Linked DNA regions of Drosophila melanogaster. The protein of the gene in region 3 interacts with the protein of the main gene of each other region in a pairwise test. Each region holds a gene or a part of one and is shown on either strand. Other genes may lie near its edges.

Evidence for each region. Proteins that work in one complex are often made in the same cells at the same time.
Region 1: the proteins of CG10650 (region 3) and CG9312 interact in a two-hybrid assay, tested with the Drosophila melanogaster proteins (one large-scale study listed by BioGRID).
Region 2: the proteins of CG10650 (region 3) and sala interact in a two-hybrid assay, tested with the Drosophila melanogaster proteins (one large-scale study listed by BioGRID).

The regions. Positions count from the first base shown.
Region 1 is NT_033777.3:13,763,861-13,768,121, forward strand, and holds CG9312 (uncharacterized protein), read left to right. Parts: upstream 1-1,895; 5' UTR 1,896-1,999; coding exon 2,000-2,023; intron 2,024-2,084; coding exon 2,085-2,161; intron 2,162-2,245; coding exon 2,246-2,577; intron 2,578-2,973; coding exon 2,974-3,176; 3' UTR 3,177-3,243; downstream 3,244-4,261. Other genes in the region: Cht5 (chitinase 5), read left to right, coding at 3,819-3,822, 4,232-4,261.
Region 2 is NT_033779.5:11,482,784-11,487,967, forward strand, and holds sala (spalt-adjacent), read left to right. Parts: upstream 1-1,923; 5' UTR 1,924-2,248; intron 2,249-2,397; 5' UTR 2,398-2,431; coding exon of another isoform or gene 2,432-2,944; 5' UTR 2,945-2,971; exon of another isoform or gene 2,972-3,000; intron 3,001-3,298; 5' UTR 3,299-3,426; coding exon 3,427-3,438; intron 3,439-3,508; coding exon 3,509-3,925; 3' UTR 3,926-4,166; downstream 4,167-5,184. Other genes in the region: CG43355 (uncharacterized protein), read left to right, coding at 2,432-2,944. UniProt on the Drosophila melanogaster protein: Likely to be involved in the establishment of the head.
Region 3 is NT_033779.5:18,992,389-18,998,161, forward strand, and holds CG10650 (uncharacterized protein), read right to left. Parts: upstream 3,547-5,773; 5' UTR 3,467-3,546; coding exon 3,391-3,466; intron 3,325-3,390; coding exon 3,214-3,324; intron 2,634-3,213; coding exon 1,749-2,633; intron 1,604-1,748; coding exon 1,398-1,603; 3' UTR 972-1,397; downstream 1-971. Other genes in the region: CG46465 (uncharacterized protein), read left to right, coding at 271-843; CG31792 (uncharacterized protein), read left to right, coding at 5,591-5,667, 5,736-5,773.

The DNA of each region.
Region 1 (4,261 bases), on a different chromosome or scaffold from region 3:
TTAAATGTAGGTCAATTAGCCAGGCAATTAAAAAGGAAAGCGGTTGAAGTCAAATATTTGATCATGTTGATGAATGTTTTTAAAAATGAAATTGCAATACAAGTCAATGGATAAAATTATACGCAATCGCTGGTTGAATTTAATGTCTATGAAAACTTCAAAAGTTATTGAAAAATTCGCATAGCTCTATTCACAATTATAAATATTGATAATAAACTTACTAACCCGAATGAACAACGACGTAAAAATGTTAATAGAGAGTACTATATAATCTAGACGAAAACGATCCCTGCAAAATTGTACAAAAGTATATTTTAAGTTATTAGCTTTTAGTTGTTATTATCTATTTGGTACGGTATGGTTTAAAGTTCTTTTATCATTATCGCTAAGTTCCCCAATAATTCCACACAAGTTGTTTGTACATTTCGCGGTGCTATATGGATGTGTGTATGTAAATTATTTGCTCTCAAGTTTTCCCCTAAGTTTGCGCACCCACAGAAGAAGTTAAGCGAAGTCAAAGTATATATATATATATACATATACATATAGATACTGACAGATATGTCGGCTTATAATTGCTACTGCACCAGGCATATAGGCACGCATACCTCCGAAAGTGGGAGGGAAAAACATTATATAACAAGAACACACTCAACAAATATTTATTGCATATATATATATATATATAGAGATATACATAAACATATACATACATACATACAAACTGTACGTCATAATATGATAAGAGTTGAAGACGATAAACTGCGACCGAGAAATGTTATCAATAAAGATTATAGTTGAAAATTCAAATGCGCCATTGTTTCCATTGTAACATCACGAAGGTTTTACGGAACCAGGAACTGGACGACTGGTCACTTACTGCCCAGACTTATGACGAATCTCGCTGCCAATTGGCGGCTAAATTCAAGATCAATGCTAAGGGGCGGAATCTCCAACGCCGTGAATCACAATGAGTCCAACATATAGATATTAACTTTGATTTGTATTCCGGCCCGACGCCTCTGGAATGACAAATAGACCCAGAAATCGACGTAAATGCTGGCACTACGGGCGTGGGAGTGTTCATAGATGTATCGGGTGAAATGTGGAGCATTCGATAACTTTCTAAAAGAGTCTTATCACAGCCCGATATCACATTAGCATAATCGTGACTCTTGTGGCTCAGTGGATCGCCCACAAGTGCTTCAGTGATAGCCAAATTTGGATTGGCTATAATTAATACACAAAAAAAGTTTTATATACAAGTGGCCAAATTTGAACAATTTCAACACGGTTAGATGTCTCTCATGTTAGATTTTCCAGCAAGGAAAACTAAATTTAAATTGACTACTATACTTAATATTTATATAGTATAGGCAAACTTTTTAGTAATTTTTTTTTTAATTTTAATTTATTATATGCGTAAATTACGCTTGCTTCACAAGTTAGTAATTATTATACAGATATTTTCCCAAGTGTAATGGCTAACAAATACGTTAATCTGTGAGGTTTTCGCACTGCCGCACAACGCACTCAATGGGGTTCAATTCGACGACGACCGCAAAATTAACAACATTTTGTCACATTTACTGGCAATTAATGTACGTTAGCAGCTATTCCGGACCAACATCGGCCCGACTAATTACAATATGCTCAAGAAACAATCGACCTATGAACGCGGTGGCTTATGTACATACATATGTAAATTGGTAGTTGGTATGAAAAACCTGAATTATCATTAACCGATCAGGTTTATGGCGTTGAGCGGCGATGATGCGCGCAAAAGTAACTCAAAATCTGAGTGACTAAGGGAGCAGCAGATAAAAAAAAACCCCGACATGCGACATTGTCCAAGTATTAATTGTGCGGAATAAAGTGACTCGACCCGCGAGATTTAGTCGATTTTGTGCGGCTAAAGAGCGAGGTTCAAGCGAAACGTTCCACGAAAGATATATACGGCTAAAGTGGTGCAGTTGTCCAAGGAATCCAGAATAGCAGTATGTTAGCCTCAGTTGCCGCCCGTGTAAGTCCAGAGAGCGTAAATTGATGGCCCCAACCCCATTTCAATCGCATATTTCAACCAGCTGGCGCTGTTCGCTGTGATAAGCACCCAGAGTCTGCAGCTCCTCCAGGCTGCTCCGTTCCCAGGCATCGAGAATGCGTCAGTATCCGTATCTGTTAGTCCCGTATTTTCTCTTCACTTCACCTGGTTTTTTCCCCTTTGTTATTTTGCTCCGGTTTTCAGTGCCTTCACCAGTGACGATTTATTGGCCGAGGAATCGTCGCCCGTTGTTAGCCAGGTCCACGTCCAGCACAATCGGCATCGTCGCCATCACGAGGATGGCAATTACCATGGGCACAGACACCATAAGCGGCACTGGGATCACCATTTTCCGGGTCCAGACTGCCATCACCCTGCCAGATTCGGGTTTGGATTTGAGCATGGAGGACCACCTCCCCAAGGCCACCACCACAGATTCGAGCCACATGACTTCCAACCGTTTCCAAATGCCTTTGGACCACCGGAATATGAGGAGCACCGGCGGCCATTTGAAGCGCCACTGGAGCCTTTTGAAGGTAAGTGTTATTTTTGTACAAAAATTTTATATTTTTGTATCTAGTTTGTTTTGGTAAATATTTAAATTAGATCGGGTCAGAGTATTAAAGTTGGTATATTGCAAAGTGTTGAAAGAAATTATTACACCATCACTTGTTTATTTTTCAAGTTGGTCTACAGCTTTCTTTTCCTATCTCTCTGATAACAATGTTTGTCAAGTTTTTAGGGTAAATATAATAGAGTAAATAAAAATAGAGCGCGAAGTGTTTGTTTTAATTTTAATGACAATGTTAACATACTTTATTTTGTGTATCTGAATCATTTACTCATCTAGAGTATCCAATTATGTATTACACATATTATACTTACAAATCCATTAAAACTTCACATCTTATCAAAACACTTATTCCTTTTAGAAAATAAAGGGGGAATCAAGGAGCTTACAAAGCAAGCGAGCTCAAGCAGCTTAGCTCCACCACCCGCAGCTCCAGTAACGCCTTCCTCACGCACCAGCACCACCACCACGACAACCACCAGCACCACCAGATCGACTACCTTGGCACCCACCTCTTCCAGCACCGAAGAGGCACCCTTGGCCATCGACATACGCATCGGCTGACGAACCTAGACCTAAGGCTCCATTCTATCTTATGCATTAAAGTGACATTAAAGTTGCTAGCCAAACCACAAGTTATCTATCCATTACCATTATAATCGGCCAGGCGAAGCCTGGATGCGCACAGCGTAACCATATCCAGGCCACTTACAGGGATCTTCTTTTAGGGCTGTCTGCGCTAAAATATATGGTAATTCTAGAGCATAAACAACGGCAGGGGGTGACAGTAACACAAAATGCGAATGCAAAACAAACGGAAAGAAAGTGGCAAGACAACCTACCAGCTAAACTGATCTGGAATTGAGCACACTCAGTCAGCAGAAACAAAACAAAAGCCCCACTTTGCCCCACTCCTACCCGCGACCATTCCCGCAAAGTTGCGATTCTTCGGAGAATCGCACCTCTCACGCACTCTACGCAGGAACAAAGGCGCAATCCAAGAACCGGACTGCAAAAAAAAAAGAGTGTTTCGAGACCGACTCCCACTATAAAAGTCGAGCCGATCGAGAGCTTCACTGTCATTTGACGCCAAACGCGCGTCGCACGCAGAAGTCTCGAGATTCCCCCGATTTCACAATATAGTATATATATAGTTATATATTCAATTCTTCGCCGGATCGTCGTTTCGTGGAGGAGCATTTAGAAATGGGTAAGCCGCACTGTGCATACAAAGTGCAAATCGGTGAATGAACTTGAGGCGTGCAGCGTTATGGACACATAACCTTAGCCGGTCCAAAAGTATAAGACCTAACACACTGGAACGATAAGAGACTCGAACTACATTCAATTAAAAATGCGCGTCACGTCGATCTCAAAAACAAGTCTTAACGGGCAACGGGAGAGGCTTTAACGATTCTTTTATTTGAAAACAAAAACGAACATAACAAGCTGTTGTATTCCTGAAAAGTCCAAGGATGATGTGCTTAAAATAAACAATATACAATACTTACTTGGTTCATAAACTCTCAAGGAGTGCACTTCCATTAAATTCATATCTTTATAAACGTGTTCTATTTATACCTTCTTCATTGCCGCTTATTTACCACAACTCCTTTTAGTTCGATATATTCCGCTCCTACTCCTGGGAG
Region 2 (5,184 bases), 7.5 Mb from region 3:
TCCATACAGTACAAGTATGCCATTTTGTTTTCCCTTAGCGGCACACAGTGGGTACCAGAATTGTTTTTCACAAAACCTTTTCATATGCACATACATTGTTGTACATACGACAACACCATAAATATATGCTTTAGGAGCATATTCGTATATGAACTAACTTAAACATACGTTACATTTTTGGGCATTATAATAGAACTTGAAGCTCTTGGGATAAAAAATATATAAAAAATTATTTTAAAAAAAAACTTTACTCATTTCTTCTGGTCTCATGAAAAAGCACTTCACGGTTTGAAAATTGTGAAGAGTATATGATGAAAAGCTGACACACGTGCGCTGAAGTTAAATGTATATACCACCAGCCAAAAAAAGCATTATCGCAAATTCACCGAAACTTTTCATAAGTTTGGAGAGCGCTGGGGGAGATCGTGTTCGAGAAAAGGTTTTCCCCGTGGGTTGGGTAAAATGTAAATATCGGTGGTAATGGCCGCCGCCCCAGGAGGTGGAAAAATCAACTGACCAGTAACTTTGGAGCCAACTTTGATGGCATCTTGCGAAAGTTGAAAGTGACTTAAGTGAAATTTCCACCTCAGGCGGCTCAGCAGCAGGACGACCTCGTCCCCTTTTCCATGGATTATCGAGGGGTCACGCCATGAACATGAGTAAAAATTAAATTGATTTTCCTCGGACATTGTTCGGACCTGTTCAGAAACTCGGTGTGCTTTTCTTTTTGGCCCTTCATGGGCTTCTGTCAACCCAATGTATTTTGTCGCATCCCTCGGAAAACTTGAGCTGGGCGAACTCCTTTAACTTGCCTATGTGGCATATTAAATTGGTGCGCAAATAGTTGTGTATTTTATTGACTCACTTTTACAGCTCAGCCAAGAGTATTTCGCATCTGCCCAAATTTTTAGCCAGCAAAATATTAAGTTGAGAGCTTTACCCCTGGAGTCTACCAATGCCGCAATACCATTCCTTTTCTACTCGACTTAAGCGACAATTTCATTTCAATTAAATTATAATTATATCTTCAGTTTGGCCCCATCAAGTTTGAGTCAAACAAAAAGTACAATTTTCATTTTCACCTTTGCGAAAGACGAGGCGGGCGTTGATAATTCCCCAAAATTGTTTGACACTTCAAAGTCATTATGAAGATAGCAATCACCAAACCCTGTTCCTCGGTCCGCTCAACTTTTCTCCAAGGGTCCTGGCATATCTTCACGACATTCACTCCCTGCCACTTCCAAGGCTCAGCAATCCTTCAGCTCCAGCCTGCCCCTCGTCCTTTTGCCACTTTACTCAATCCTAAGATGGGAATTGCCACGTCTGTCTACATACCTACATACCCGCAGCGCTTTTTGATGTAATTTTGGCATAAGCCAAAAAATGTTTCCTTTTCCCGAGATGTCTTTGTCTCCACTTCATTCCCCGGCGAGTGGTTTCCGAATGCGACACGCCCTGACAAATTCATCCGGGGAAAATGAGGAAAATGGCTGAAAATTAAATTTGGAATTAAAATTTTGGCCCTGGGCACATAACTTTATGCCGCTGGATTTTCTTTCCGCCCAGAAGGATTTCCTTACTCAAGGATAAATACTTAAGGCAAGCGTAGGCATAATAATAGCTAAGCAGCTTCTCGGAAATTAAGACGATTTAGTTGTTTAATTCTTTGGTTATCACTAGACTCCACAAATAAAGAGATAGATTGAAAATGTAATTAGATAATCAAATATAATTTTCACAGTTTTAAAGTTTAACAATATTGCTTATTTAAATGGTTGCTTTTCACCTCCGAATTTACTTTTAATCTCATAAGCATTTGAACTTGTAGTATTTTTGGCGGCGATATGTTATCAACAAACAACTCTTCCAAAAATAAACCTATATATTATTTTTTGGCAACCAAATACAATGCCACTCTAAATTGTAAATAACATTTAAGCAGCTGATCCAATTCTTGTGTTCAAAACAACAAAATTCAAAGCAATTAATTGTGCGCTGGTTTTTCTTTTTGCCTTTACTTGTATTAGGAATTATTCTTTAAAATATTTATTGATAGAGAAAAAAATATCCAGACTTATATATATCAATGAATTCGGCCACTGCGTCAACAAATCGAATTCTAACTTGTTTTAGCTATTAAAAGCAACAAATAAATGACGTATTAATAAGTACGCTAAAATAAACCAGTTGCAAAACAAACATTTATTTACTGTATATTGTTTCCATTAAGATAGAAATAGGAAAAAATGTAAGTCAATGAATATATACATAGAAAATATTCTTATCAGCTTACCATATGTATGTACAACGGACGTATAAACATATATAATAATTTTTGCATATAAAAAGATTCAAATGCATCTTGTTCTCAAAAATATTAGTCATACATCTTTTCAGATCGTTGCTCTAAATTCATCTGAGACTCGATCAGATGGGCTGTCGGCGATTTTCTGGAGGAGGACATCACCCACACGGAGGTCCACCTCCCCCTCGTCACCATCATCACCATCGTGGCAGACATGGTGCTGGTGGACGCTGTGGACACGGACACCAGCACCAGCCTTTTCCACCACCGCCTCATCGCCCCCATCGACATGGAAGTCACTTTTGGGAGGGATACGGTCCACCTCCACCACCGCCCCATTATCCACCACCAGGGGGATATCTGTATGGTGGCCACCATTGGCAGGGATATCCTCCTCCGCCACCTCCGCCTCCTTCTTCACACCACCCCCCACCATCTGGATCTCCAGCAGGAGGGTGTCCGCATTGCGGTTGCCCAGGAGGCGGTCCACCTCAAAGTGGATTTCCTGGTACCGAAAGACCTCACAACGAAACCTCAAACGACGATCAGCATGGCAGCTTCCAATCTCCAATTCCCGGTGGCGAAGTTCCTACTGATGAAATACCTGGAAAAAATAAATACGAAATCATTGATATTTAGACAACAGTAGAAAATGTTTCAAAAAAGGTAAAGTCACTATGTTATATCTTGTATCTGAGTAATGTCTTATTAATGATTTTATATTATCCGGATTTTCCTGATCAAAAAAATCGAGTAATGTTATGTTGATAAAAACTTTTCAAATATCAAATAAATAAATATAAATAAACAAATAATTTAAAAACTCCTTTATATTTCCGTCATTTCAATATGGTACTGAATTAGTATTAGTATTCTATTCAATTCCGGATTTTTCTGTTTTTCCATTTTCCCTCTTCCAATAAACTGGTTTATTTTATTTTCCATCGTAACCAGATGTTGACGGCAATACTTTTCTGTGATTTCCTTTTACAGGTAGAGACTCAAACTTAAGTCCCTCAGCCAGGTAGAATACCTTTCAGCTACCTACTTGATATTACCAAATCGTGGTATAAAAATCAAAAAAATATTAGAGCCGCCTCAGTACCGAAACTTCAGCCACGATGAAACTACTGGTGCGTCTTCTACTATAGAAATCTTAACTAACTTAGAAATATTTTTATAATAACAAATTTATAACTATAGATTGCTCTGTTTGCACTGGTGACCGCTGTGAACGCTCAGAATGGATTCGGCCAAGTTGGACAAGGAGGATATGGAGGGCAAGGAGGATTTGGAGGATTCGGAGGAATCGGCGGGCAAGCAGGTTTTGGTGGACAAATAGGATTCACTGGACAGGGTGGAGTTGGTGGCCAGGTGGGAATTGGTCAAGGCGGAGTCCACCCGGGTCAAGGAGGATTCGCTGGACAAGGTTCTCCAAACCAATATCAGCCTGGTTACGGAAGTCCTGTGGGATCTGGCCATTTCCATGGAACTAATCCAGTTGAGTCCGGTCATTTTCACGAAAATCCTCATGAATATCCGGAACATCATGGCGATCATCACCGTGAACATCATGAGCACCATGGACACCACGAACATCATGGACATCATAGACATTAGTACAAATATGAGAATACCCATGACAAAATTAAAGGAATGTAATGCTATAGTTCTCTACCGTAAATTCTTAAGAAACACTTGCTTGTTTCTGAAGTCTCTATTGTATCTAATGTCCAGAATTGATTTGTAAAAGTGATTCTTTATCTAAAACCCCCTTGAGATCCACTATACAACGTGCCTTCTTGAATTTCAGTATCTAAAATGAAAAAAAAAACGGAGTCTCAATAAAAAAGTAAATAAGGAAACGGAACCCTTTACTCTGTCCATTTTGGTTGAGGCATCTATAAATTATTTTGCAGATAGCATACAAGCATATATACCCCACACATCCCATCTCAACTTTTGCAATCGGAGAAAAGGATGCCGTCGACCGCTCCCAAGCGACATTTTCTGACCAAAGCAGCTGACAGAATTGAAAAATAAGCGACGTCCGACTAAAAGGGGGAATGGGGAGGGAATGGTAAAGGGTGGGGTTCAGGTGGGTGGGGGCTGAAGGTGAAAAATAAAAAATGGCGTCCAGTCGAGTGCTCAACCTCAAGATTTATAACGAAGGAAAAAAAATAGAGTCGAGGTGAGGGTGGGAAAAAAGAGCACACGTTAAAATAATGCAAAAGCTGAAGAAAACTAAAAAAAATGTGCGGGAAAAACTGCCACCCACACGGCCAAGGAAAGAGTGAGAAGGAAAACCGCACACACACTGATGCGCGCAACAACGGAAATGGAAAGGATAAAATTAATTTTTCTCCTTTATTGCCATTTACTTCACCTGCTGCTGCTGCTGCTGCTTTCTCCCACTCGCTCGCGCTTTTCCTCGAAGGAGAACGAAAAAGTGGCCCGGAATAGCGGGGCGGCTCAAAGTGGGTGGTGGCCAAAGGGTGAACCACCCAAGCGGCAACATTGCTGACGCTATCAAACACCACAAACACATTTAGTTTGCGGGAATTTGTTTTTGCGTCGCTCACTTTTCTTGCTACTTCTTTTTCTTCTGGCAATTTGCGCCATAAAAATGTGAAAAAAAAATTTGCAAAAAATAAGAGCGGAATAAAAATGCCATGAGAGGCAAGAAGAAACTGTCCGACAAATAAAAATGGCATAAAAATATTCCACTCACCTGAGAGGTGCGAATTGGGTCCCCAATACACTGTCATATAAAAGGATGAAGATTATAGAAATTTAAATCTTTTAAAAATGTTGTAATTATATTTTAAAAAAGCTGTGCAAAAATATTGCTTAATATTTATTAGGGAATTTTTTATTCT
Region 3 (5,773 bases):
AAGGCGAAACATTTGATTGAGAACATAACTAGTACTTATATTACAAGATAATTATTGTTCAGCAGCTGCTTAATGGATCAGGGATACTGGGAACGGTTTTTAAATTTGGTCCCTTGAGTACGTTTCCTGAAACCATATCATTTAGAGGATATAAAATGGCTCAACAGAACCTAGACTGCAGTTGGCTAAGTCATCGAAGCGTGTCTATAAGCACGGATCAGCGGAACCAAAATTGAATATATCTAGAAATTAAATACGTTTTGTTTAAGAATGTGTCTGCTTTCCAATAATATTATTCTACTTACTATACTGTCAGTCCTCGAAGTCCAGGGACTTTACCAGCAGCAAACAAGTACAGTGTTACCCACCGTAAAGTCCACTATGAGCTCAGACCATACCACCGGAATGGAGGAAAGTTCGTCACCTGTCGAGGAAACAACAACGCTTTCTCCGCCTATAAGATGCCTCAGTTGTAAATTTTGCTCACCCAATGAGGGGAAAACCAGAACTAGGAAGGGCAAAAAGATGTGCCACATAAAGTTAGGCGAATTGAACGGTTGCGTATCTATGTACTTCAACTTCAACAGCAGTGCTGGAGGACCAGATGGCTTTATGGTGAGAAGCTGCATTTCCGACATGGACGAGAGTTCACTGGAACACTGCGAGAAACATGCAGAACTCTGTGAGAGGTGTTTCGAAGACGATTGCAACTATGTGGAAATAGATAAAAATGGTTTGGCCACGAATGCAGGATCGCGAATAATATACTCAAGTCTAATGATCTTCTGTTTAGCCGGCTGGCTCTTTAGGAGTGAAAAATGCAAACTTATGATTATATTATAGGCCTGTTCAGCTTAATAATGGCAAATTGAAAACCAAAATTATGGAATTCGGCGAAATCACCATCGTCATGTAATGGAAAATGTAATTTGAGTTACCTAAGAATGCTACAAATACTTTCTGAGACATTTCCAACTGGCTCTTCTAGTGCACCCAAACAAATTTCTTCGAACTATTGTTAATATAAACTCTCATTTTGATTGATGCAATAAATATACACACATATATGTACAAAGTATATTATTAATGGTACTGCGGTTGATAAGGCGTTGTGATTATTTCTTTATTTGATAAGGCCTAGCAGGTTGAAAACTCTTTTACCACTAGCCATCAATGAAAACAGGGTTTTCCAAGGACATAATTACTAAACTACTGTGAAAGAGTAATTGTTTTATTAAAATGATTTATTTGGGATTATGGAAGTGTTCTTAAAATGCTTCAGCTCCTATAATTAGGTTATGTCTTTTTGTCTGTTGCTTTGTAATAGTTAACATTACTCATAGACCCAGGCACCCGGTAATTTGATTGGATCATCCAACTACGTGGAGGTGGTTGGATTACAGGGCACTGCGTAGAGCGATCACCACTCCCGTCAGAAGGCCGACCACGCCCACATTCCTGAGTGCGCCTGCTCCATTGAAGGGTACCTTGTTGCACTTGCTCTCCGTACACAATTCGCACTGATGGGCCTCCACTTTGGCATTGCACTGGTACTGCATCAGGTGGCTGGCAGCGGTAAAACATCCTCGCACTCCAAGTTCATCTGGGGGAAAATGTTGAAAGGCAATTGTTAGGATTTTTGCTGGCATAATAATAATGCAATTTGGGAATACCCTTTTACATTATAAAATAAAATCTTTGAAAACTATAGCATTGATTCGCTGTGCTTAGACTTGGTACCAACTTACTCCAGACTCCGCTGTAGCACGTTCCATTGGGGCAGTTGATCAAAGGGAGCGTGTCCGGATATTTGGCCGACCAGCAGCCGGAAACCTCATTCGAAATGCATGTAATGCACTGGAACTCGCCGGCAGCCACATTGCAGCCATTTTCGGAGCAGGAAGTGCAGGCATTGGTTGTAGAGCAGCCAGCCTCCAAGGTGTTTAGGCACCCTCGGGTAACATTGGTTCCTGAGGTCATGGTATAACACCCGACTTCCTGGTTGTACTTGGCCTGTCCGCAGGACTTCGCATTGGTAGCAACCTGTTGCTCCGCACAGTTCTCGCAAATGATACAGGAACCGGCCTCTCGTTCGTAGGTCGGACTATTGCAAAAGTCGGAGTTGCAGACGAGGCAACTGGGATCAGTGCTGTCCGACGCACACTTGATTTCCGTGGTGGCCGATGTGCAACCACGGGTCATGTTGCTCGCAGACGTTCCGGTGGTGAAGCACCCGGCATCGATTTGACTACATCCCGCGACCAAGGTATTTGAGACCGCATTGCAGTTCTCTCCTGAGCAATTATAGCACTGGCGACGATTGGCGGGGAATAGTCCCACATTGCACAGGGATGCCGAGCATGAGGAGCACGTGGATTCCGTTCCAGCAGCACAGGGGTCACCACATTGACGGGTCACCGTCTTGTTGTCATTCAACTGATTCACGCAGACCTGTCCATTATTGGGGCACACTGCATTGTATTGCGTATCCGTCACGTTGGTCGTGGCGCAATTCGCTTCGCCGAGGCACTGCTGGCACACCAAATTCAAATTGCAATTGTCTTCCTTGCAGGTCGAGCAGGATGGTAAGGTGCACGCAGTGCCATTAATCAAGCAGCCACGAGTTAGAGTTCCTATTGGGATACAGAAAATCAATAACTAGATGCAAGGGAATATGGTTCAGAGCAAAACTTCGTATGATTTCTAATATAAACTTATAATGATTTCTAATATAACTTATATATTCCTTATAAGTTGAGAGCCTGCAGATTCTAGTGGCGCCTAAGCTGTGCTAATTTCATTCAGATCATTTTCACGCCCACTCTAAAGCCCACAAAGCGTGCCAGATTCTACTGATACTTCAACAGAATGTTTAAATGTGTACCTTAAACTCCCACAAGCTGAATAAAGAGGTATCTGATGGTCGAGTGACTCCACTTTAGCGTTCTCTTCGTTATTAAATCAAATTATACGCAATATTTAAATCTTAGACAACAACACGAAAAAGCCAGGTAGTGCAGTAACTGCCAAATGAGTCACAACATCATAAACCTTTTTCGATCCGCACGAAATTAGAAAAGAAAACAAGGATCAATAGCTATCAAAAAGAAAAAGAGATAATCGCTTATCACCTTTGGTTGCACTGATCGATAAGAGGGCCACTACCCCCGTCTAAGAATATGAAATAGTCGGTCATGAGTCATACAAACCCACCTGCGTTAATAAGAGTATAGCATTCATTATCACACTCTATAGAAGTTTGAGTAGATGGACTCGTTAAACAATTTCCAGTGTCATTCGTCGTCGATGTGCACGAATAGCACTCTGCAATGGCAATAATAATTTGAAGTAAGTCATTTGAAAAAACTCATCCAAAATGTGGTAACCTACGGAGGGCTGAGGTGCTGTCCAGCTGGCTGGCAATGAAAGCTGCTATCACAATCATACACAGGCTGTATTCTCTCATGGCTCTCGGTTTTCTATTCTTTCTGGCTTCTCAACTGAAATGTCGGACCGGCTGGATCGACCACCGTTTTTTAACTGGCTCCCTCACTGTTTGGCCATATTTTTTTTACCCCCATTCGCATAATCAATTTCACCTGAACTCACTAACACCTGCCAAGCTCTTCTCCGCATGCAGTGGTTATCTGCTCTACACACATATATATGTTTGTATACATATATATATATATATATATATATATGTACAATCGGAGGAAGTCAGTTCTCTTTTAGCTGATAACTTCAATACCCAGGTGTAAATGTGCAAGTGTGTGTGTGTACAACGCTGTTCACATGCGATGATAGTTACCACAAGCCTGCATTTACTTTGGAGCTTTTGCAAAAGCTGAAAAATTAACCCATGCTGCCAACGTTCTTACCGTATTTCCTTAAACGAATATACATCAACAGTAACTTCCTGTTTCCGATCTAGCCGGCGGATAATTGAACACAATTATAACGATAATTAAATACTTTAATTAAAATTTGGTTTGCCTTGGCTGTACGGCAGTTATATGATATATTTTCTTTTGATTTTCATCAAATTAAAATATGGTCAAAAACTGTTGTATATCTCATACATATATTAATACTTACCATTATTTTTCGATTATCCCTATAACAGCAATATGATATAGTGGTCCAACCTATATGTATACTAACTGAAATTGAACGAAGACAAACATGACTGTATCGACTCTACTGTTGAATATACGAATCTGAATGAAATCAATGTACCATTTGCAAGGGTATAAAAATAAAAGGCGCCACCAAAAACTGCATGAATAATCTCAATTTCCAGATTTTACAGGTTCGACAAACTTTCCATTTGATTATGGATTGACTATAGTTCCATTGATAAAAAAAATAATGTAATTTGAACTAACAAGAAAGAACTCAATTCCTATCAGATACCCAGATTTAATTGAATAAATACACATTTGTAGGGTCAAAAACACTTTCTTGTTTCATAGTTTTTAACCCTTATATTCTACGAGGAAAGTGTACAATTATATATGTAAAGCTGTATTGCCCAATTTTCTGGCTAATAACATATAAACAATGTGCCTTAACTACAAGTCATATATCTTAACGATACTTGAGGATTGAAGTGAGACTTTTGTTTATATGTGAACGTTCGTTCTCAAGTTTATAATTTCGGTTACTCGTTCTTGAACTTATGTGTTTGCTTTTAAGTTTTTTTTTTTTTTATCGTTCGTTCCTAATTTAATATCGAAACTTAATTTTTCTCTCAGTGTCTTAATAAAAATTATTATTATTTATTGTATTTGGGCGACTTCTTAAATTCTGCACATGCCGGTGTTTTATGTTATTAAGGTTTAAGTTGAAGTCTAGACAAAATGATTCAATAAAACAAAGTACAAATAGTAAGTACATACTTTTATATCTTTTTATCTTTAGCATATCATTTAAGGTTTTTTTGAACCAGACTGGTATTCAACATAAAGCCATTATCTTCAAAAAATATAACCGAAATCTAATCTGGGTTATCTCCGGCGAATTTAGCACCGAGAGCTAATCATGTTGCTCACACTCAGTACCTTTAAGATCTTTTCTACGCGCGGACGTATTGCTGTTTAGTTGAATTTCTGGCATTGCAATTTAATAAATTAGTTCGTTGGAAAGCATGTTATACGTTGAAAAGTGCAAGTGACTTCAAGCCTAGAAGGTATAAATATTTTTGATCATTCGATCCGACTATGTCTGTCCATATAAGCGTCGAGATCTCGGAAACCTACGTCAACAAATTACAAAAAGCTTTAGATTCTTGGTAACGACTTCTTTGCAGAAGACCAAAAATGCTGGTCATTATATTATAGTAGAAGTTCAAGATTTTAAAGTGCCAGTGACGTTGAAGGCGTGTGGAATAAATTTTACCTGAGTAGCAGGTATCTGATAGTCGGGTAGCTCGACAATCGTATTCTGTCCCATTTTAGACAAGCTGTTTAATGGCTAATTACTTATTGATTAGAAAATCATTAATTCAAATTTATTTCTTGCTGTCTGGATTGTTTCACTTGCATAATATTTGTTATGTAGCGAAACATAACGTAGTAATCGTAATAAAATGCAGTCCTTTAAGAATGAAGATCTCCCGGAGAATCCTCGAGAACGATCGAATATTTTTTCTGCGTTATCCTTTTGGTAAGATAGTGCAAACGTGCGACGCCAACATATTTTTCAAGTGTGAACAATTTTTTCAAATAATTCAGGTATACCATTCCCACTTTTATTAAGGGGCAAAAGGTCA